Linked DNA regions of Arabidopsis thaliana. The protein of the gene in region 1 purifies or fractionates together with the protein of each later gene. This does not show direct contact. Each region holds a gene or a part of one and is shown in the gene's direction. Other genes may lie near its edges. The genes, in order: AT1G60970, AT4G34450, AT2G34840 and AT1G30630.

The links.
Region 2: the proteins of AT1G60970 (region 1) and AT4G34450 fractionate together in Arabidopsis thaliana (co-fractionation; one large-scale study listed by BioGRID). This does not show direct contact.
Region 3: the proteins of AT1G60970 (region 1) and AT2G34840 fractionate together in Arabidopsis thaliana (co-fractionation; one large-scale study listed by BioGRID). This does not show direct contact.
Region 4: the proteins of AT1G60970 (region 1) and AT1G30630 fractionate together in Arabidopsis thaliana (co-fractionation; one large-scale study listed by BioGRID). This does not show direct contact.

What each region holds. Positions count from the first base shown.
Region 1 is NC_003070.9:22,447,280-22,451,215, reverse strand, and holds AT1G60970 (SNARE-like superfamily protein), read left to right. Parts: upstream 1-1,679; 5' UTR 1,680-1,828; coding exon 1,829-1,831; intron 1,832-2,219; coding exon 2,220-2,379; intron 2,380-2,484; coding exon 2,485-2,632; intron 2,633-2,731; coding exon 2,732-2,809; intron 2,810-2,910; coding exon 2,911-2,995; intron 2,996-3,148; coding exon 3,149-3,208; 3' UTR 3,209-3,405; downstream 3,406-3,936. UniProt on the Arabidopsis thaliana protein: The coatomer is a cytosolic protein complex that binds to dilysine motifs and reversibly associates with Golgi non-clathrin-coated vesicles, which further mediate biosynthetic protein transport from the ER, via the Golgi up to the trans Golgi network.
Region 2 is NC_003075.7:16,469,155-16,476,782, forward strand, and holds the start of AT4G34450 (coatomer gamma-2 subunit, putative / gamma-2 coat protein, putative / gamma-2 COP), read left to right. Parts: upstream 1-1,581; 5' UTR 1,582-2,801; coding exon 2,802-2,847; intron 2,848-3,071; coding exon 3,072-3,220; intron 3,221-3,322; coding exon 3,323-3,436; intron 3,437-3,526; coding exon 3,527-3,727; intron 3,728-3,806; coding exon 3,807-3,908; intron 3,909-4,342; coding exon 4,343-4,450; intron 4,451-4,530; coding exon 4,531-4,764; intron 4,765-4,903; coding exon 4,904-5,154; intron 5,155-5,286; coding exon 5,287-5,458; intron 5,459-5,531; coding exon 5,532-5,687; intron 5,688-5,758; coding exon 5,759-5,809; intron 5,810-5,991; coding exon 5,992-6,129; intron 6,130-6,208; coding exon 6,209-6,406; intron 6,407-6,487; coding exon 6,488-6,619; intron 6,620-6,703; coding exon 6,704-6,877; intron 6,878-7,073; coding exon 7,074-7,313; intron 7,314-7,446; coding exon 7,447-7,628. UniProt on the Arabidopsis thaliana protein: The coatomer is a cytosolic protein complex that binds to dilysine motifs and reversibly associates with Golgi non-clathrin-coated vesicles, which further mediate biosynthetic protein transport from the ER, via the Golgi up to the trans Golgi network.
Region 3 is NC_003071.7:14,700,500-14,704,915, forward strand, and holds AT2G34840 (Coatomer epsilon subunit), read left to right. Parts: upstream 1-1,988; 5' UTR 1,989-2,103; coding exon 2,104-2,277; exon of another isoform or gene 2,278-2,369; coding exon 2,370-2,459; intron 2,460-2,542; coding exon 2,543-2,694; intron 2,695-2,787; coding exon 2,788-2,923; intron 2,924-3,012; coding exon 3,013-3,168; intron 3,169-3,331; coding exon 3,332-3,411; intron 3,412-3,572; coding exon 3,573-3,666; 3' UTR 3,667-3,872; downstream 3,873-4,416. Other genes in the region: MEE25 (NAD(P)-binding Rossmann-fold superfamily protein), read right to left, coding at 4,293-4,416. UniProt on the Arabidopsis thaliana protein: The coatomer is a cytosolic protein complex that binds to dilysine motifs and reversibly associates with Golgi non-clathrin-coated vesicles, which further mediate biosynthetic protein transport from the ER, via the Golgi up to the trans Golgi network.
Region 4 is NC_003070.9:10,857,710-10,862,300, reverse strand, and holds AT1G30630 (Coatomer epsilon subunit), read left to right. Parts: upstream 1-1,978; 5' UTR 1,979-2,127; coding exon 2,128-2,298; intron 2,299-2,387; coding exon 2,388-2,477; intron 2,478-2,670; coding exon 2,671-2,822; intron 2,823-2,906; coding exon 2,907-3,042; intron 3,043-3,134; coding exon 3,135-3,290; intron 3,291-3,491; coding exon 3,492-3,571; intron 3,572-3,661; coding exon 3,662-3,755; 3' UTR 3,756-4,069; downstream 4,070-4,591. Other genes in the region: AT1G30640 (Protein kinase family protein), read right to left, coding at 109-192, 430-604, 781-1,004; MUR4 (NAD(P)-binding Rossmann-fold superfamily protein), read right to left, coding at 4,331-4,578. UniProt on the Arabidopsis thaliana protein: The coatomer is a cytosolic protein complex that binds to dilysine motifs and reversibly associates with Golgi non-clathrin-coated vesicles, which further mediate biosynthetic protein transport from the ER, via the Golgi up to the trans Golgi network.

The sequences.
Region 1 (3,936 bases):
ATAAGAAACGATAGTCGGTTTTGATAATAAGATTAGCAAATATATTAGTTAGCTTAAATTAGTTAAAGAATACAAATTAAAAAGGTATATTACACTTTATTCAAATATAGTATCAAAACTTATATAACACAAAGATTTGGTAATTTTTTAATTGTTGAATACTTTTTTTTGTGCTAATTTTATGTGATTAAGATTTAATTGATTTCATATATAAAATATTAAATTGACTTATTTGTTTATAATTTGGTAACAGATAGATATTTGAATATTCAGTATATTTTGCTTCAGTTTAGAAAATCTTTGATGACCCGTCTTTAGATCCAATAAGTCCTATAATCTAGAGATTAATCTGCAGTATACCGCAGGTAGGCTTATATTTTAGTTAAACTAAAAACTTTTATTGTAAAGATGATTTAAAAATATATGATATTATTTTATTTGATTTTAAATGTATAGTAAATATGAGTTGTATATGTTTTGTTGATATTATCTATATTGTTTAGTGTTTAAGATTATAGATTATACACTTGTAGTTTGATTGTTAATTTAAGAGTTTCACATGTAGTATATCATCTTGTATTAATATCGATCTAAACCCGTCAATTCTAGGATTTTCCAGCTTGTATTAAAAATTGAATCACATCTGATATGTTATTAACTATTGTAGTATATAAGATTATAAATTTTCAATATAATATGTATGAAATTGAATATAAATATTTCAAATTTATGTCCCGTTACTCAGTAGAAAGTTTTCTTAAATCTATTTTTCACCCGTTACAATATTATTTCATGTATTGAACAGTTTTTATTCGTTTTTAAAAATTCAAATTATGGCATATGCGAAAAAACTCTAATTATTTTTTTATAATGATGATATTATTTTTCCGTAAAAATAGAATCATATAAAGATGAGAAGTGAACAATAATAATTAATAAAAAATTAATATGATAATTTAGATACCAAATATAGTTTGTTGATTTTAATTGGTTACTTTTTTTAGAAATTAATAATGTATTTCGTTTTTCTAATTAAATTAAATTAATTAAAATTTAGATATCAAATCTTATATGTTGATTTTAATTGGCTATTATTTTTGGAAATTGATAATATATTTCGTTTTTTAATTAATTTAATTAATTAAATTAGTATTTGACTTTTTAATCCTTAAAGAGATAAATTAATTTACTTTTTAAAATTTTATTTCTAATGGCATACCTATATAATTACTTACAAAAATTAAGGTTACATTTAAAATGTATTTTCCAAATAATATAGTAGGATTAGAAGTGGTCACAGGTCCGTTTGTAATTGCTTGATTTTTCTTAATTACCAAAAAAGAACTAATTTATCATAAATAACTTAGGCGGGCCTGTGGAGGCACATGCTTGGGCTGACAGAGTTTCGGATGATTAAGCCGGGTCGAGTAAGACCCGTTTTAATGTTCCCAAGATCCACACGGCCCAAGAGAAGAGTGTACCAAATATTACCCAAATCTCGGTCCGGACTGAATCAGGAACCGGTTTAGAGAAAACCAGACAGAGTAATGACATCTGGAAACTCTGGATTCTTCGCTTCCAATGTCAAGTTGACTGATGTCACAAGAAAAACAAATCAAAGTTGACCAGAAAAAGAAAAAGCAACTAATTAATTACATAATTAAGAGAGAAAAAAAAGAGAGAGTGTTTTAGTAAAAGAAAATTAATATTCCTGAAAATATGAATTTGCCAATTTGTAACGTTTTCTGAAAATTTCCTCTGCCAAAGTCCAAAGGAGAGTTTTTCTTTATTACTAGGGCATTCTCTGCAGATTTCTTCTCCTTAAGCCATGGTATGAATCTATTTTTCTAAACTTCTTTTATTTCAGAGATTTCTTCTCTGTTTCTATTGCACCGATCATTCCTATGTTTTATTATCTGCGATATTGTAATACTTTACATGCATGTGAGAAGTGACAAATTTCAGATTTTGTAATTGTTTTCATCTATAGATACGATCGTCTTAAATCTTTAGTCATATAAAAAATTTGATTGAAGTTACGCATGATTTTCAGATAATCACTCATTAGGTGTTAGACAATTGTGGATAGCTAATTGTACTATATACAGAAAAGAGATTGTTACTGTTCACTGATTCATGTTCTGTTACATCTTTTGGTTGGTGATTTTCAATATCTCTTAATCTTTATTCTATTCTGTGTTTTCATTACTTACATTTAGGAATTGCCCCCAAAAGTGAAAAACATCTTGCTTTTGGATTCTGAAGGAAAGCGTGTAGCGGTTAAGTATTACTCAGATGACTGGCCAACAAATTCAGCTCAGGAAGCGTTCGAAAAATCCGTGTTTACAAAGACTCAGAAAACAAATGCTAGGACCGAAGGTAGATTTCGACATCAACCATGTTTTAGATACTTCATAGTGTACTTGTTGAGTATCTTTTATCAAATCTTTTCCGTCATTACAATTGCTAGTTCTTGATATGTAGTGGAAGTGACAGCACTGGAGAACAACATTGTTGTGTACAAATTTGTGCAAGATCTCCATTTCTTTGTTACGGGCGGTGAAGAGGAAAACGAGCTTATCTTAGCCAGTGTGCTTGAGGGACTCTTTGATGCAGTGACCCTTCTCCTTAGGTTTGTCTAATCATAGCTTCAAATTTTTGTTATATTATTTCTACATTCCCAACTTCGCTCAAATTTTCGATCTTCCTCTCTTCTGAACCCAAATTACAGAAGCAATGTTGATAAGAGAGAGGCACTAGACAACCTTGATCTCATCTTTCTAAGCTTTGATGAAATTATCGATGGCGGGTATAAAAAAAAATCTTCTTTTCGACATTACTAAAACCATTAGATCATAAATGGACTGTTTCATAGGTTACATAGTCAAATAAAACTATCTTATATTTCAGTATTGTTCTGGAGACGGATGCAAATGTAATAGCAGGTAAAGCAGGGATCAATAGCACTGACCCTAACGCTCCTCTATCCGAGCAGGTACAGTGGTTTTGAAATTGTGATCATATTTTTCTTGATAATTACATCATCTTGATACAAACTTTGAAATAGTTACATTGATCCGAACTCTCAAGTAACACCATCACTAATGAACTTGATACATTTCTCTGCGGTGTTTTTTTTTTCCTTCAGACGATAAGTCAAGCACTCGCGACTGCAAGAGAACATTTGACAAGGTCACTTATGAAATGATGTGTGTTTTGCTCTTCGGTAATAATGGTTGTTTTTGTCATGGTGAATGTGTGTTTTGTCTCTTGTAGTTGAGTGACTATACTCTTAAATATAAAAGTTACTTTGCACTTGGGAGATAGTTACCGTTCTTAAGGTCAAACAATTCTCTGGTGATTTCTTCACTCTTTTTCATGTTCCATACACAATTAAATTACAACATACAGTATATACCTAAGATTAAAATATAATTCAACATCTACCTGTTCGAGATGCTCATAAGCTAAAAGTATGATGTATTATTGCAAATTTGCAATAGGCCAAATGGGTTTAGGTAGGGATACTTTTTTTTTACTATTTCAAGTTTTCAACTGTGAGATATACTTTACTAGTACCGTAACCATTACATTTTTTAATCAAATAATGGATCTGATTGGTAACCAAAAGTTGTATAAATATTTTAGATGTTAGCTTTATCGGAACAGTGCAAAACTTTTAGAACGAGCTCTACAAAAAAAGCTGAGAGTAAAACTTTTTGTAACGTTTTTGATAAAGTTTTTATGATTGATAACTATCAAAACTGTACAAAAGTGTATTGTGTTACCATTCAAACCCAATATGTTTTACAATCCAAAAAGTATTGATGAAGGGTAATATTGTATTTAACCCAAAAAAAAAAGATGAATAAAAAATGAAATTACAACAAAATGTCGACATTTAGTTGGCGTGTGGCTACAATATTCGGAAGAATT
Region 2 (7,628 bases), on another chromosome or scaffold:
TCCTTGAGAAAAGTCTCCATTCTCTCTTCTTCTTCCTGGAAACCTAAACCACGTAAGGATTTGCTCTGAATCTAAATATTGACGTGGAGAAGACGCGATCTTACTAATTCTCCATTCTCTGCTTCAACTTCACCGTAAGATTGAACAAACCTTTACTTATATATACCTCTTCTTTCTTGAGAAATCCAAATTCTCCATTCTCTCTTCTTCTTCCAAACCAAAACCTAATTCTCCATTCTCTGCTTCAACTTCACCGTAAGATTGATCGGTTGATAAAGCGGCTCTTTTTGGTGATTGATCTCTGTTGTGACTACATCTTAGGTCAATTCAGATTGCTTTCATATCAAGTCTCTCCTAATTTCACAAGATCAAAGATCCCGGCCATGGATTCAGTTGTCGACGGCGAAGGAGAACACAAACGACGACTAAGGATGCGAAAGTGGGAAAGAGGGATATAACGAAGACATGGACAATGAAAGCAACGAGCAGTATAGAACCAAATCAATGGATCATGATCTGTGTTTGGTACTAGGTGTTTCCTTGGCGTCGACGAGATCTTTTGAAAATCTTGTGTTTCGTCGATATCACAAGCAAAGGTATTTTCTTTTTTCCTTTTCTATTTTTAATGATTCATTTTTTACTAAATAAAAATTTATTTTTAGATTTTTTTATTAAGTGTTAAAATTTTCAATTTTGTGTAAATTAATTTAAATTTTTAACACTTGTTTTTGTTTTTATTAAAAACTGTTTTTAAACCTATATTTTTATACTACTATTAAAGTTTTAAGGTTTTTCTTATTAAATATTAAATTTTTAAATTTTGTGTAAACTAATTGGATACATCATCCAATCCCCTAAGAGGTGTTCTAGGTTCAATAGATGGTTTACACATCATTTAAATTTTTAACACTTGTTTTTTATATTTATTAAATAAATGTTTTTAAACCTAAATTTTTATACTACTATTAAAATTTGAAGTTTTTTTTTATTAAGTGTTGAATTTTTAAATTTTGTGTAAACTAATTGGATACATCATCCAAACCCCTAAGAGGTGTTCTAGGTTCAATATGGTTTACACATTATTTAAATTTTTAACACTTGTTTTTCTTATATCAAAAATATGTTTTAAACCTTTATTTTTATACTACTATTAAAGTTTTAAGTTTTTTTATTAAGTGTTAAATATTTAAATTTGTGTAAGCTAATTGGATACATCATCCAAACCCCTAAATAGTGTTCTAGTTTCAATATGGTTTACACATTATTTAAAGTTTTAACACTTGTTTTCCTTATATTAAAAAATGTTTTAAACCTATATTTTTCTATTACTATTAAGATCTTAAGTTTTTTTTTTAATTTTGTGTAAACTAATTGGATAAATCTTAACTCCTAAGAGGTTAGGTTCAATATGGTTTACATATAATTTAATTTTTCTTATATTAAAAAATGTTTCTATTTTTATTTTACTATTAAGATTTTAAATTTTTTTTTGTTAAGTGTAAAAAATTAAAATTTTGTGTAAACTAATTGAATATAACATTCAAACCTGTAAGAGGTGTTTATAGGTTCAATATGATTTATATATAATTTAAATAGTTTGCTATTTTGTTTAGAATCAAAATATTTTTAAATGACATGTTGTAATAATTGACCAAAAGAAATTAGTGTGTGATTTTGTTGAAATGCAGAGTACAAAGCCTTAATTTATACCAAGTTATGGTATCTATAACGTATATGAATACCAAAATTTTATTATTTTTAATTGGTGTTGTATTTTATAATTCGAAATAATTAGGGGAACGGGCAAAACCTCTCTGTTCTCTCGCTTATATTTTTTTTAGAGAGAAAGCAAATCAGTTTCAACGATCGGATATTTTCTGGTGTTAGCCGTCCTGACTTTTTGGGCTTTCTGTCCGATATCACCGGCTCTGGTAGCGGTGTTGGTTGGCTCTAGTCCGGCAGCGTCTTGTTCACATAACCGGTGGTTGCTGGCTCTTGGTTTCTCTCGTCGATGTAGATCGATTTTTAATCTGTGTTTTTTTATTTTCATGTTTTGTTTTTAATAATTCTCATCTGAGACATGTTGGTGATAGAGTGAATGCAATCTCGCTTTCTAATGCTTCTTATCCGATCTGTTCTTTTTTAAGTTTTGATTTACAGAAATTTTTGGAGAAATTTGAGAATGATGTTGAAGAAAAGAAGTGGATTCTGTTGTTAATTATCATAGCCTTAAGCTGTTGTATATTTAACATGAGCCTCGATTGCTTTTTATCGGTGAAAAAACAAAAAGATCCATGTTCTATGAGACTATCGACGGTGATTCTTTCACCGAAATCGGTGCTCAGACGGCGAAAATGAAGTCGGTTCGCTTTAGAGTACTCATCTGACACGTATATTAATATATCGACATGTGGTTTGGGATAGAGTCAAACTATAGTTTCTTCTTCTATGAAAGACTCTCTGTTGGCCTATTTGGTCCTAAATCGTTTCTGTAATCGCGGACTTTTCTTTAAGCTTTGACTATCTTGATTAATACAATATTTCTCTTGGGACAAAAAAAAAATAATCTTAGTATTTCTTTAATATTTTTTGTTTGGGTATGGGCTATTGGGCCGCTTCGAAAAGTTCACTTTCTCTATCGATCTCTCACAGTTTCTGAGTTCTCTGACTCAAAAACATATAGTAGAAGAAAACGATTAGAGATCTTCTTCTTTCTCCTGTTGCATCTGAAGATAAAGGAAACAGAAAGCGCGAGATCTGAGTGACGGAGTAATTTCAAAGGGAGGTTTTCGAGATCAGAAATGGCGCAACCCCTCGTGAAGAAAGACGATGATCACGACGATGAGTGTATGTGTTCTCTCTTAATCTCCTTATAATTTTCGAATCAGCTGGTTTTCTGCAAAATGTAGATCCAGATGTTAAGCTTCTAGATCTGTTATCATTCAACAGTCGTGATTGTGATTTGGTTGTGTAGATCTACAATCTCAAGTCCGATTTAGTTTTGTTTACCGCATTCGATCCCGGTGTGAATTGCTTTGCTTATTTCGATTTCTGATTTTTTGTTGGATCAGTGGAGTATTCTCCATTCATGGGAATTGAGAAAGGAGCGGTTCTTCAAGAGGCTAGAGTCTTTAATGACCCTCAGGTTGATCCTAGACGATGCTCCCAGGTCATTACGAAGCTTCTTTATTTGCTTAACCAAGGGGAGTCATTCACCAAGGTCAGTTAATTTTTTTGCTTATACTGATTCGATGTCATGCTTATGGAGAATTGAATTATTGTGTTCTTATCCTCTCGCGATGGTTGTTTGTTTCATATGCAGGTTGAAGCAACGGAAGTTTTCTTTTCAGTTACAAAGCTTTTTCAATCAAAAGACACGGGTTTGAGGAGAATGGTCTACTTGATCATTAAGGAGTTATCTCCATCATCTGATGAGGTCTGTAAATTTTACTCAATTTCAATACGAACATCGTCGCACTTATTGTAGGTATATTTTCTGATAAGTTGTTGGTTTTTTCGCCCATAGGTTATCATCGTAACAAGCTCTCTGATGAAGGATATGAATAGTAAAATTGATATGTATCGAGCAAATGCTATCCGTGTCCTCTGCCGGATAATAGACGGAACCCTTCTCACTCAGATTGAGCGATACTTGAAACAAGCCATTGTGGATAAGAATCCCGTTGTTTCAAGTGCAGCTTTAGTCAGTGGGCTTCACTTGCTCAAGGTACCTTTTACACACCAAAACTATTAGGTAGCTTCTTAATTGTAATGTTATGCTTATATTCGTATATTGCTGTTTTCAGACAAACCCAGAAATTGTTAAAAGATGGAGCAATGAAGTTCAAGAAGGTATTCAATCCAGATCAGCCCTTGTTCAGTTCCATGCCCTAGCTTTGCTCCATCAGGTTAGTTTGTTGCATTATTATCACCGAAGTCGATTGGTCTATGTTTCTACTCTTTGTTTAATTAAACAGCCACTGAGAAGAAGTATCTCGGAAAATGAGAGGTGTTACTATGTGTATTGGACTAGATTCATAAATAATAAGTTTTCTGTAGCAGCATCGTAGCTCTTTACTACGGCCTTTTCCAGCAATTTTAGTTTCTTGTGAGGTTTAATCTGTGTCTGGAGTCTGTCTCAGATACTGCTGATTCTAGCATATGTAACTAATTAGGTTGGTTAGGACAACCTATTTATGTGTCTAAGATGTACGAGTTACCAAATGATATGTATTGCTGCTGTTACGTTGATTTAAAATGACTCCCAACATGATACACTCTCAATCTTTGATCTAATAACTGTCAATCTTTGATCAACTTGATAATCTTTCATCATATTCAGATACGCCAAAATGATCGCTTGGCTGTTAGCAAATTGGTTGGTAGCTTGACCAGGGGATCTGTCCGCTCTCCCTTGGCTCAGTGTCTTTTGATACGTTACACCAGCCAGGTTATTCCTCTCTTCTGTTTGATCATTTGATAAGTGGCTGATTGTATATGTGTTATTTAGCTCTGGTTTCTAATATTCAGGTTATCCGTGACATGGCCAACCACGGTCAATCTGGAGAACGTCCGTTCTATGAATTTTTGGAGAGTTGCCTGCGCCATAAGGCAGAAATGGTGATCCTTGAGGCTGCCAGGGCAATTACTGAGCTTGATGGTGTGACAAGCCGAGAACTGACTCCAGCAATCACTGTTCTTCAGCTCTTTTTGAGTTCCCCCAGACCAGTGTTGAGATTTGCCGCTGTCCGGACTCTGAACAAGGTTTGCAATGCTTTCAACTGTTCTCTTTGTACATTGACACCGAAATGATGTTTTACTATTCTGGGTAGATTCATCATTACCTTTATCATGAGGATGAGGAGATATTTCACTGTATACTAAACACAAGTTTGAACCACAGGTTGCAATGACTCATCCTATGGCTGTCACCAACTGCAACATTGATATGGAGAGTTTAATCTCTGATCAAAATAGAAGCATTGCTACACTCGCAATAACCACACTATTGAAAACAGGGAACGAATCAAGTGTAGAACGTTTGATGAAGCAGATAACTAATTTTATGTCAGATATTGCTGATGAGTTCAAAATTGTGGTCGTGGACGCAATAAGATCGTTGTGTGTGAAATTCCCACTGAAATACAGATCCTTGTAAGTAAAGTTTTAGGGTTTGTTATTTGTAGTTTTGGTCTCGAGCATTTCTATTTTTTTGAATGATTAAATATGTTATGGTATCTTTTTAGCATTTGGCTTATGATTGATCTATCACCTTTTCATTTGTAGGATGACCTTCTTAAGCAACATTCTTAGGGAAGAAGGTGGATTTGAGTATAAAAGAGCAATAGTAGATTCTATTGTGACCATTATCAGAGATATTCCGGATGCAAAGGAAAGTGGACTGCTTCATCTATGTGAATTCATTGAAGATTGTGAATTCACATATCTTTCAACACAGGTAATTATTCCATCATCCATCTGGGGTTGCTATTAAAAACTTATGTGTTATTGAAATGTTTATTCTCGCACAGATCCTTCATTTTCTGGGAATTGAGGGGCCTAACACCTCAGATCCAAGCAAGTATATACGATATATATATAATCGTGTGCATCTAGAAAACGCCACTGTCCGGGCTGCTGCTGTTTCCACACTTGCAAAGTTTGGGTTTATGGTTGAATCCTTGAAGGTATAGTCATCATAACAACCATTATTTTTATTTTCCGTTTATCTTCTTTGACTGATGATAATGCTCGACAGCCCCGGATTACTGTTCTATTGAAGCGTTGCATCTATGACAGTGATGATGAGGTGCGTTCCTAGTCTTAGTCTAGAAAAGCATTGCTGTTTCTGTATGTCTGTTTGTTTTGAGTCGTTGCATCATCAAACATGCATGCATGTGTTTGCCTCTGTAAACATTTTCGGATGCATGCAATGCAAGTTGTTTGATGATTCCTTCCTTGCTCATGAGTCAGACATCTTTTTATCTTAAGGTCCGTGATAGGGCAACACTATATTTGAGTGTTCTTGGTGGTGATGGTACTGTTGACACTGATAAAGAGAGCAAGGATTTCCTATTTGGTTCCCTGGAGGTTCCTCTAGTCAACATGGAAACTAGTCTGAAGAATTATGTGAGTTAATCTATTTCTCGGTTTTCTCCTTTTCAATATTCTTAGGACATCAGTTATCTTATATCTGGGATTCCTGCAGGAGCCCTCTGAAGAAGCTTTTGATATCAACTCCGTACCTAAGGAAGTTAAATCTCAGCCCCTTGCAGAGAAGAAAGCCCAGGGTAAAAAGCCCACTGGTCTTGGTGCACCACCAGCTGCACCTGCTTCTGGTTTTGATGGCTATGAAAGACTTCTCTCATCCATTCCAGAGTTTGCCGCCTTTGGAAAACTTTTCAAGGTTAGGGGCTGATTTGTCTTCTGTGTTATTCTAATGTTAATGGCTTATCTTGTTTGCTTTAACTTGTACTTTCTTTTTCAGTCTTCTTTACCTGTGGAGCTAACTGAAGCAGAAACAGAATACGCTGTCAATGTTGTTAAGCATATCTTTGACAGTCATGTGGTGTTTCAGTACAACTGCACTAACACAATACCAGAGCAGTTGTTGGAGAGGGTACTGAACATTGGTGTAGAATATTAGTGTCAAGCATATCTTATCTTTCTTTCCTCATTTAATTAATTTGGCATGGGGTTGTAGGTCAATGTCATTGTAGATGCTTCAGAAGCTGAGGAATTCAGTGAAGTAACTTCAAAGGCCCTAAACTCACTTCCTTACGATTCACCCGGTCAAGCCTTTGTGGTTTTTGAGAAGCCAGCTGGGGTCCCTGCTGTTGGAAAGTTCTCCAACACATTGACTTTCGTTGTTAAGGAGGTACATGTTAAATAGGCTATTCACTTCCATCTTTTTATTTACTTACACTGAAAATGACCCCATAATACTTTGTGGAGAACTCTTATAAACAACGACTCATTTGGAGAGGAGTACCAGAACGACTCAAATTAATCACAGAAAACAAAGAAAACTCTCTAACTACATTGTTTGTGCTTTTATGAATGTGTTAAAACAGGTTGACCCAAGCACAGGTGAAGCAGAAGATGATGGAGTAGAAGATGAGTACCAGCTAGAGGATCTTGAGGTTGTAGCTGGAGATTACATGGTGAAAGTGGGTGTCTCCAATTTCAGGAATGCGTGGGAAAGCATGGATGAAGAAGATGAGCGTGTAGACGAATATGGCCTTGGCCAAAGAGAGAGTTTGGGAGAAGCTGTAAAGGCTGTCATGGATCTTCTTGGCATGCAGACTTGTGAGGTTAGTCTCTTCCACTTTTTTCTCATACTCTACTGAGACTTGAGGGCTAAAATTATTGTTGATAAAGTCTTTTTTGAGTATATGACCATTTGTTGTGTTCCTGAAATTGAAACTGACACTGGATAAATAACAGGGGACGGAGACAATTCCGCTCAATGCAAGGTCACACACGTGTCTATTGTCAGGTGTGTACATAGGCAACGTGAAAGTGTTAGTGAGGGCACAGTTTGGAATGGACAGCTCAAAGGACATTGCAATGAAGCTGACAGTTAGAGCTGAAGACGTTTCTGTCGCCGAGGCCATTCACGAGATTGT
Region 3 (4,416 bases), on another chromosome or scaffold:
ATGAAACGGCATGAACTTATATATTGTTTACTACAATAATTAGACCATACGGTGCAAAAATTAAAACAAAATAAGTCATGCATCCCTCGTTCTACGGTGACGCATGTTGATGAACGGATTCTATAAAAATAGTAATATTTAATATCTGTTATCCAGTCAGATATATTTAAAACAATATAAGAATTTAAATTGACAAAGAAAGATAAATCTGATTAACCACGGAATATGTGTGTTTAGATTGGTAACGTATGATTAGACACATCAATGCTATTTAAAAGATGCATATGATGATAACTTTTAGAAGTGAGAAGGCCTTTGGATTATTAGGGATTACAAATAGTAAACTTATTATAGATTACTTGAGAAAAGAGATTCATTAAAACAAAATTTGCATAAAGTAAGAACCAAACTAGAGGAGCTTATTCCAAGAAGATGCATTTTACATTTAAAAGGTGCATGTAATTAATGTCTGATAACCATAACTCATTAATTATTCTAATTCAGCTAAAAGCGAGCCTAAACCCATTACACAGAGAATTGCACGAATCACAAGTACACAAATTGATAGAACATTTAGACTTTAGAGGTTGATATTTTTTGATAAACTATAGTATTGATTTATGTTATTAATTGGGTTGTGTAGCACGAGGACTTCTTTGAACATGTGAAATGAATATTGACTTTACGTAAAATCGACCATGCCCTTTAAGTGTTCCTCAAGTTCATACAAAAACAACAGTCATACTCTTATATGTATATTATAACATGATTTAAATTTGAACTATGTTTATTTAACTATATCCTATATATAATTATTACGATTGAGAGATGAGAAAGTTTGTTACAGATGAAGAAGAAGATATTTTCCCCTTAAATTTCTGTAAATGTATTTTGTACAAGTATATATACGATGACAATACAACCGGTTAATATAACCCGCGTAATACAAAATCAATTAAACCGATAAATTAAATCAACACTCTCTGATATGACCCCTCAATATGAGGATTCGAAAATGTTGAGAATGCTCATCTTGGACTTTAGATGTTCAAACTGATGTGAGAACAAATGTTTAGCAAAATATCAGCTATTTGATCATCCGTGGGAACATGAAGCAGTTTAAGCTCACCATCATCCAACTTGTCACGCACGGTATGGCAGTCAATCTCAATATATTTCGTGCTCTCATGGAAGATATAATTGATTGCAATATAGATAACATCTGTACTGTCTGAAAACAAGATAAGAATCGAAGTAGTATCCGTTTAAGATACGAGCAATGTATGCAACCAAACCAACTCACAAGTAGCAAGAGCTAATGCTCAGTATCTAGAAATAACATGTTGCTTCTTAGATCGACATGAGATGATTTATGAAGAAATTTGAGCTTTGATGGCTCTAATACCATATTACGATCGAGAGATAAGAAAGTTTGTTACAGATGAAGAAGAAGATATTTTCTGATTAAATTTCCGTAAATGTATTTTGTACAAGTATATATACAATGACTATTCAACCGATTAACATCACCGTAATACAAAATCATCTAGACCGATAAAACTAACCTAACACATTCTGATAATAACAAATATGAATTTATTGATTTTCTTTTAATTAAGAATAGCTCGTTCAACCAAATGTTGACATCTTTTTTTTTTTTGAACACTACCAAATGTAGACATCTAGTACACTAATTCAACCATGTCTGTCGTCTAATACTATTTCGAGTAGTGTGTGATATGCTTAATATATAAAAAAAACTTGTTCACGTTTCTGATTTTAAAACATAGACTGACCAAAAGCTCACAACACACAACTAGATATAAAGCCCAGGAGTCAAACAAAGAACCTGATTCGTTATTTTGCCGCACAAGGCCCAAATCAAATTAGTGATGTTACTTGAACAGTTCAAAAAGAACTGGGATTATTATGCATTCAGTTTATAACTTAAGGGGTTATTATGTTATTAACCCGTTTACTTTCGTTTGGATTTTGGAATTAGACGCGAAGCTGTGAAATCTAGAAGAAGAAGAAGAAGAAGAAGAAGAAGAAGAAGAAGAAGAAGAAGAAGAAGAAGAAGAAGAAGAAGAAGAAGAAGAAGCAATGTCAGCCATGGGAGCAGGACCAGATCACCTCTTCAACCTCAGAAACAATTTCTATTTGGGAGCTTATCAAACGGCGATCAACAACAGCGAGATCGCCAACCTCTCGCCGGAAAACGCCGTGGAACGTGACTGTCTCGTCTTCCGATCTTACATCGCCCTCGGTAGCTATCAGGTTACTTCTCTAATCATATCGATAATGTCTTCTTCTTTAGATTCGATTACGTTTTGTTTTGATCTGTTCTTCCAAATTTTGGTGTGTATAAGCTTGTTATCAGTGAGATCGATGAATCAGCCGCTACTCCACTACAAGCAGTCAAACTCCTCGCTATGTATCTATCGACTCCTCAAAATAAGGTAATTACGGCTTTGATTCGTGTTCACGAAACATGTTGTAAAGAGATTCAAATGCTTATATGGAACGATTGTTATTGGTTCAGGAATCAACAATTTCAAGCTTGAAGGAATGGTTAGCAGATTCAACAATAGGAAACAATGATACATTACGATTGATTGCTGGTATTATTTTCATGCATGAAGAAGATTATAATGAAACTTTGAAGCATACTCATGCTGGAGGAACTATGGATTTGTAAGATTTTTTCGATTTTTATTTGGTGGATTGAGTATTTATACTGTGTTTTAAAACATGTTCTTAGATGGCTCATTGCTATTGTTTTTCTAGGTATGCCTTGAATGTTCAGATATTCATTAAGATGCATAGAGCAGAGTATGCTGAGAAGCAGCTTAGAGTGATGCAACAGATTGATGAAGACCACACTCTCACTCAACTTGCTAGCGCTTGGTTGAACCTGGCAGTGGTATAATGCGAAATATTCAATGTGTTCTGGCTTATTCTTTCAAAGAGTTGTGTATTTGCTTCTTATGCTAAGGCGTTATTTGATTTCAGGGCGGTTCGAAGATACAGGAAGCTTATCTCATTTTCGAGGATTTTTCTGAGAAGTACCCAATGACATGCTTGATCTTGAATGGCAAAGCTGTTTGCTGTATGCAAATGGGTAACTTCGATGAAGCTGAAACACTACTTCTTGAAGCACTCAACAAGGTAACTACAAATTAGGCTTGTGTACCTTAAATTTGCTCTGTACATTAGCATTCTCGGGAACAATATGAAACTAGGGACCTCTCTAAATTTCTCACACTGCACTTGTCTCTTGGCTTTTCTGTATATGGGGAAGTGTGTTTATACTAATTTGTGGTGATTGCAGGATGCTAAAGATCCAGAAACTCTTGCAAATCTTGTTGTGTGCAGTCTTCATGTCGGGAAGTCTTCTTCACGCCACCTAAGGTAAATTTTCATTATCTACTCTTATATTAGGCATCATTTGCCCAATCAATCAGTAGAACTCACTGAAAAGTTAATCGAGAGTAACTGTGTCCTTAATCCTAATAAAAACATTGGTCGGTCTCGTTTGTTAACTTCATTTGTATCACCTATCCTTCTTGCAGCCAGCTAAAACTTTCACACCCGGAACACATACTTGTGAAGCGTGTATCATCAGCTGAAGATAACTTCGAGAGAGCAGTTCAATTGGTCGCCTAAAGACTCTTCCATGGTTCAAGCTAAAAGACGTGCAGGATTTGTTTGCTTTACCGCATATTTTCACCGGGTTGGTAAATCTACCAGAACAACCATACTGTCTTGTCTTTTCGAAACCAGTATATGAACCAGCTTTTGCCATTAGATATGTTAAGTTACATTTCATTACTTGAAAATATCAAATTCCACCTCTCGCACTCTCAATTCCGTTTGTCATTTACTTAATTTCGAACCTAACCAATCCAGATCGTGTAACTCAACCCGAAACCTTGAGTGAATTCAACCGATCGTTTGAATCCAAACTAGAAATACCAAAACAAACAAAAGCTTCTCACTTGGAAATACTTCAATTTTTTTCCAACCAATGATTTTCACTTTTTACACAAAGAAGCGACATATGTCTTCCGTTAGGATTTTGATAAACCTCAATCACAATAAAATAGGTGATTGACATGGATGATATTTTATTAATCAATAATCTCATATATAATCTCTATATATGGATAAGATGAATACTATTCTACTAAGAATAAATCCATCTTCTTCTACTACCTTCACTACCATCTAGAATCAAGACTCTAATGAAGGAGTCCTTGAAGGGCAATGCTCACATACCTAATGCATAATGGTCAGTATGCAGAAACCAAGGAAGAAGATCCATAGCCACTGCGATGAAGCTTTTGCCATCTCCATGCCATCTTTAAACTTTCTTGAAGATTGGTGTGCTTAGCTGTCCAATTCAGCTCTTCTTTG
Region 4 (4,591 bases), about 12 Mb from region 1:
TACCGCATAAAGAGAGGATTAGCGTATTTACGCAGATGTTAATGAATTACCAATTTAATCACAACTAAACTCTTTGATTTGGAGAGATGCTATCAGATAGTGCATTACCTGCCCTCGTCGAAGCATCTCGGATTTCTTTAACTTTTTCATTGCATATACGCTTCCAGTAGATTTTTCTTTACAAATTCTCACCTGGACAGAAATGAAATAATATTAAATCAATACACCAAGTAAAATCACTAACAGAAGCTTTGGTTCATAGAAAAAGAATAATAGCTAGTTATCAGTACTTCGGTAGCCAGTAAGAGAGCTAAAAAAGAAGCAACATCAAATTTTATATGTAAAGATGAGACAAGATATTAGCTAAGCTTACAAAAAGGAAGTGAAAAATAAGAGAGGCAACCACAAAGAACACATAAAGAGATATACCTCACCGAAAGCACCCCGGCCAATGATGCTAAGCAGTTCAAAGTCATCAACCCCCATTTTCTGTCTTTGTAGACGCATATACTCCATTTCCTTTTTCTCAAAGTTCTTTAATATATCCATCTTGTCTTCAACAGTAACATCAGCATCAGCTAGGTTTTGTTCCAAGATGCTCCGACTGTATTCAAGAGCGAGCTGATATCAGAAGGTTCAATCTAAACCAGTAGCAGATTAATTCCTAAATCAGACCCAACCATCAGTACTAGAAAATAAGACTACTCTGAAGTTCCATTTGTAACAACTAAAGCACAAGAAGTAAATATTGGCATCACAAGAAGAATCCCGAGAACGTACCGCTCTTTTCTTTCCTGGAGACTCTTCTTCTGAATTTTATAATGATTCTCGATATATTGCTTCGCTGCAGCAACTTTCTGTTTAGTAGCATTAGATGGTGCATCATTCATAGGAGGTCTCCCAAGATTCTTCACATTTCCCTCTTGTCCCTTTTTAGTAGGGCTTGATTTATCCGGTTTCTGCTGCCGTATCTGGAACCAGCTCCTTGTAGGCTCCGTAGCCATTTCAATCCAATCTAATGCAAATCACTTCATAAAACCTGCAGAAAATCAAAACAAAATTCCAAAACCCAAATGCTTCAAAACTAAATCAAATTGATGACAAATTCTTGTCTAACAACGCTGGTCAACACCTAAAATCTCACCGTAAATTCCGGAAACAATATTAAAACTTTCACTTCCAAGTTAATTCCACACGAATCGATTTTAATCACTCTTGACATAGAGATACATATACATCTAGTTCTGGATTGTGGATTGCACGCATGCATTCGAATCAAAACTTGCTTATAATCAAATAGTTACAAACTCCAATTCCAAACAAGATACGCACAAACACCATGCGAGATTGAAGAAGAAGAAAAACGAAAAGTCAAACTATTCACAAAGAAAAAGTAAAACTCGATCGGGGAAGATGACAAATTTCGCGAAAGGATCAAAGAAACTTACATCAACAAAACAACAAATCAGAGAGATTTTGATTTTAGCTCTCGCTTCGAATTCGAACTGTTGCTTACACGCATTCACTTAAAACGGAATTTTTTTAATTAAAAGATCTCAAAAGGGAGAGCAAAAACGGATTACGAACTAATAACGTTTTTTGGGCAAAGCGTATTTTATCTTGAAGCAGTAAACGCCGTTTAAGTTACAGTCACGATGACTCGGTGGCTGATTAAAACCAATACTGGTAAACCGGCTTTTAACTATTCCCGGGTCATTTATTGGGGAAGCTAAATGACACGTGTCAGTAAATTGTTGGATTTGTTTGTCGACATAACGTGACAGCACGATTGAACGGAGTGGTTTGCTAACGTCATTAGAACAACTCCCGCGCGAATTGGATAAAAACGCGTTTTATTGGTAAGACAAGATTGTCACCGTCCGTATGTAGGAGACGTGTAAAGAGAAGCAGAGTGTCGAACTAATTGGGTCATCGAAAAGCCCATTGGGCCTAAAATAGATAACAATGAGTGTCAATTGTAACATTCAAAATGTATGGGGCTTTATGTACATCTTAAGGCGTCATATTTTTTTGGTTTTGATTATTCACACTTCAGTTTTCTTTATTTTGGAGTTAGACACGGATCTGTGAGATCTAGAAGAAGAAGAAGAAGAAGAAGCTAAGACAATGGCATCCATGGCAGGACCAGATCATCTCTTCAATTTGAGAAACCATTTCTACTTGGGTGCTTATCAAGCTGCGATCAACAACAGCGAGATCCCTAATCTTTCGCAGGAAGATATCGTCGAGCGAGACTGTCTCGTCCATCGCGCTTACATCGCTCTCGGAAGTTACCAGGTTTTGCTTCCGTCTCGTGTTTTTCGATTTGGATTTCAATTTGTTTTGATCATTTGCTGATTTACGTTTTTCAAATTTCGTCTTCGTAGCTTGTCATCAGTGAGATCGATGAAGCCGCTGCTACTCCTCTACAGGCAGTGAAACTCCTTGCTATGTATCTATCGAGTCCTGAAAACAAGGTAATTCAAGAGATTTTGAGATGTTTCAATTCATCTTCTGTAACGTTTGCTTAGCGGAATTTCAGATAACTTTAGTAGAATTCTAGGATTCTTTTGATGATTTAGCTTCAGAGATCCGGAATTGAATATATCTTGATCTTATTTTAGTGATCTGCATTGTTGAATACGTAGTTGTTTCTGTGATTTTGGTTAGGAATCAACCATTTCGAGCTTGAGGGAATGGTTGGCAGATCCAACTGTAGGAAACAATGCTATTATCAGGTTGATTGCTGGTACTATATTCATGCATGAGGAAGACTATAATGAGGCTCTGAAGCACACTCATTCTGGAGGAACCATGGATCTGTGAGCTTTTCGATTTGTTTTGTCTTGTCACAGCGATCTCTTTTCGTTTACTCGATAAATGATTGTTGTTTCTGCATATTTTAGGCATGCTTTGAATGTCCAGATATTCATAAAGATGCACAGATCAGATTTTGCGGAGAAACAACTGAGAGTGATGCAACAGATTGATGAAGACCACACACTCACTCAGCTCGCGAGCGCGTGGTTGAATCTGGCAGTAGTATGATATGAATATCCATTTCTTTTTTCCATATAGTGTAGAGAAGTTTGTTAATGTGTTTCTTAATATGAAATTGTTCTTTATGATCTCAGGGTGGTTCCAAGATACAGGAAGCTTATCTAATCTTCCAGGATTTCTCTGAGAAGTACCCAATGACAAGCTTGATCTTGAACGGCAAAGCAGTTTGCTGCATGCATATGGGTAATTTTGAAGAAGCTGAGACTCTACTACTTGAAGCACTCAACAAGGTGAGTGATGAACCTACTCTTTCTTTCCTTAAATCTGTATCGACACAACCCATTCTCAATATCATGTCATCGGAAATGCTCACTCGATTTAAATCTATGAGGATACTTGAAAACTCCTTACACCAAATCTAAACTTTTCAACTATTCCGTTTATTATAAAATGGACAAGTTTGAAATCATAGATGTTTATTCTCATTGCAGGATGCTAAAGACCCAGAAACTCTTGCAAACCTCGTTGTATGCAGTCTTCACGTCGGGAAATCATCTTCTCGCTACCTAAAGTATAAATATTCATGACCTTTTGCATTTTCTGCATAACAACAAGTGCATCAGTAAGCTGACTTATTCCTCCATTTCCAATCCTTTTGCAGCCAGCTGAAACTTTCACATCCAGAACACGTCCTTGTGAAGCGAGCAGCATCAGCTGAAGATAACTTCGAGAGAGCACTTCAATCTTTCGCCTGAAGTACCTCAAAGTCCATGGAATCAATTTGCCTTATGATCTACCAGAAGAACATCATATTATTACCGACCCTATCTTGAAATTATCATAGATAAACAGTTTTTTCCATTGGATATGTTGCATTTTACTTTGATTTCTCACTGAAGCTTTTGTTTTCATTGAGTTTCGAATCCAACAGAACTACAGATCTTGTTCCTTGAAATCCAGAATCTCCATAACTGATGAGACAAAAGGCAGACTTTTGAAAACGAAACATTCGCTAATGTATGCAACACGGAGCTTAGATCTAAATTCCGCTTTACAAATTAAAAGCCAGGAATGCTATATATTATTAAGACTAATCAATAAATATTGTGAGAGGTACATATACTAATGAATGGCTGCTTCCTAAAAGAACCTAAAGCCATTACAAAATGAATATCAATCAAAAATCTCGTCATGTGATATCATTTTTTCATAATATGGATAATATATCTTGTGTTATATTTATATATAAACCATCATCATCTCCTACGCTTCTCTCCTCAATACCATCTGGAATCAAAATCTCCGTCCATCACCAAAGGAATGAACAAAGTCAGTAAACCGAGACCGATGAGGTTGTTAAGCCATAGCCATTACGGTGCAGCTTCTGCCATCTCCATGCAGTCTCAAGACTCTCTTTGAGATTAGTGTGCTTAGCTGTCCAGTTAAGTTCCTTCCTAATCTTGCTTGGATCACTGTAAACCTCAGCGTAATCACCTGCACGTCTAGGCAAATAGTCGATCTTGATCTCAACACCAGTTGCTTTCTTGCACGCCTCAACAAACTCTTTCACCGAGCTACCTACTCCACCCAT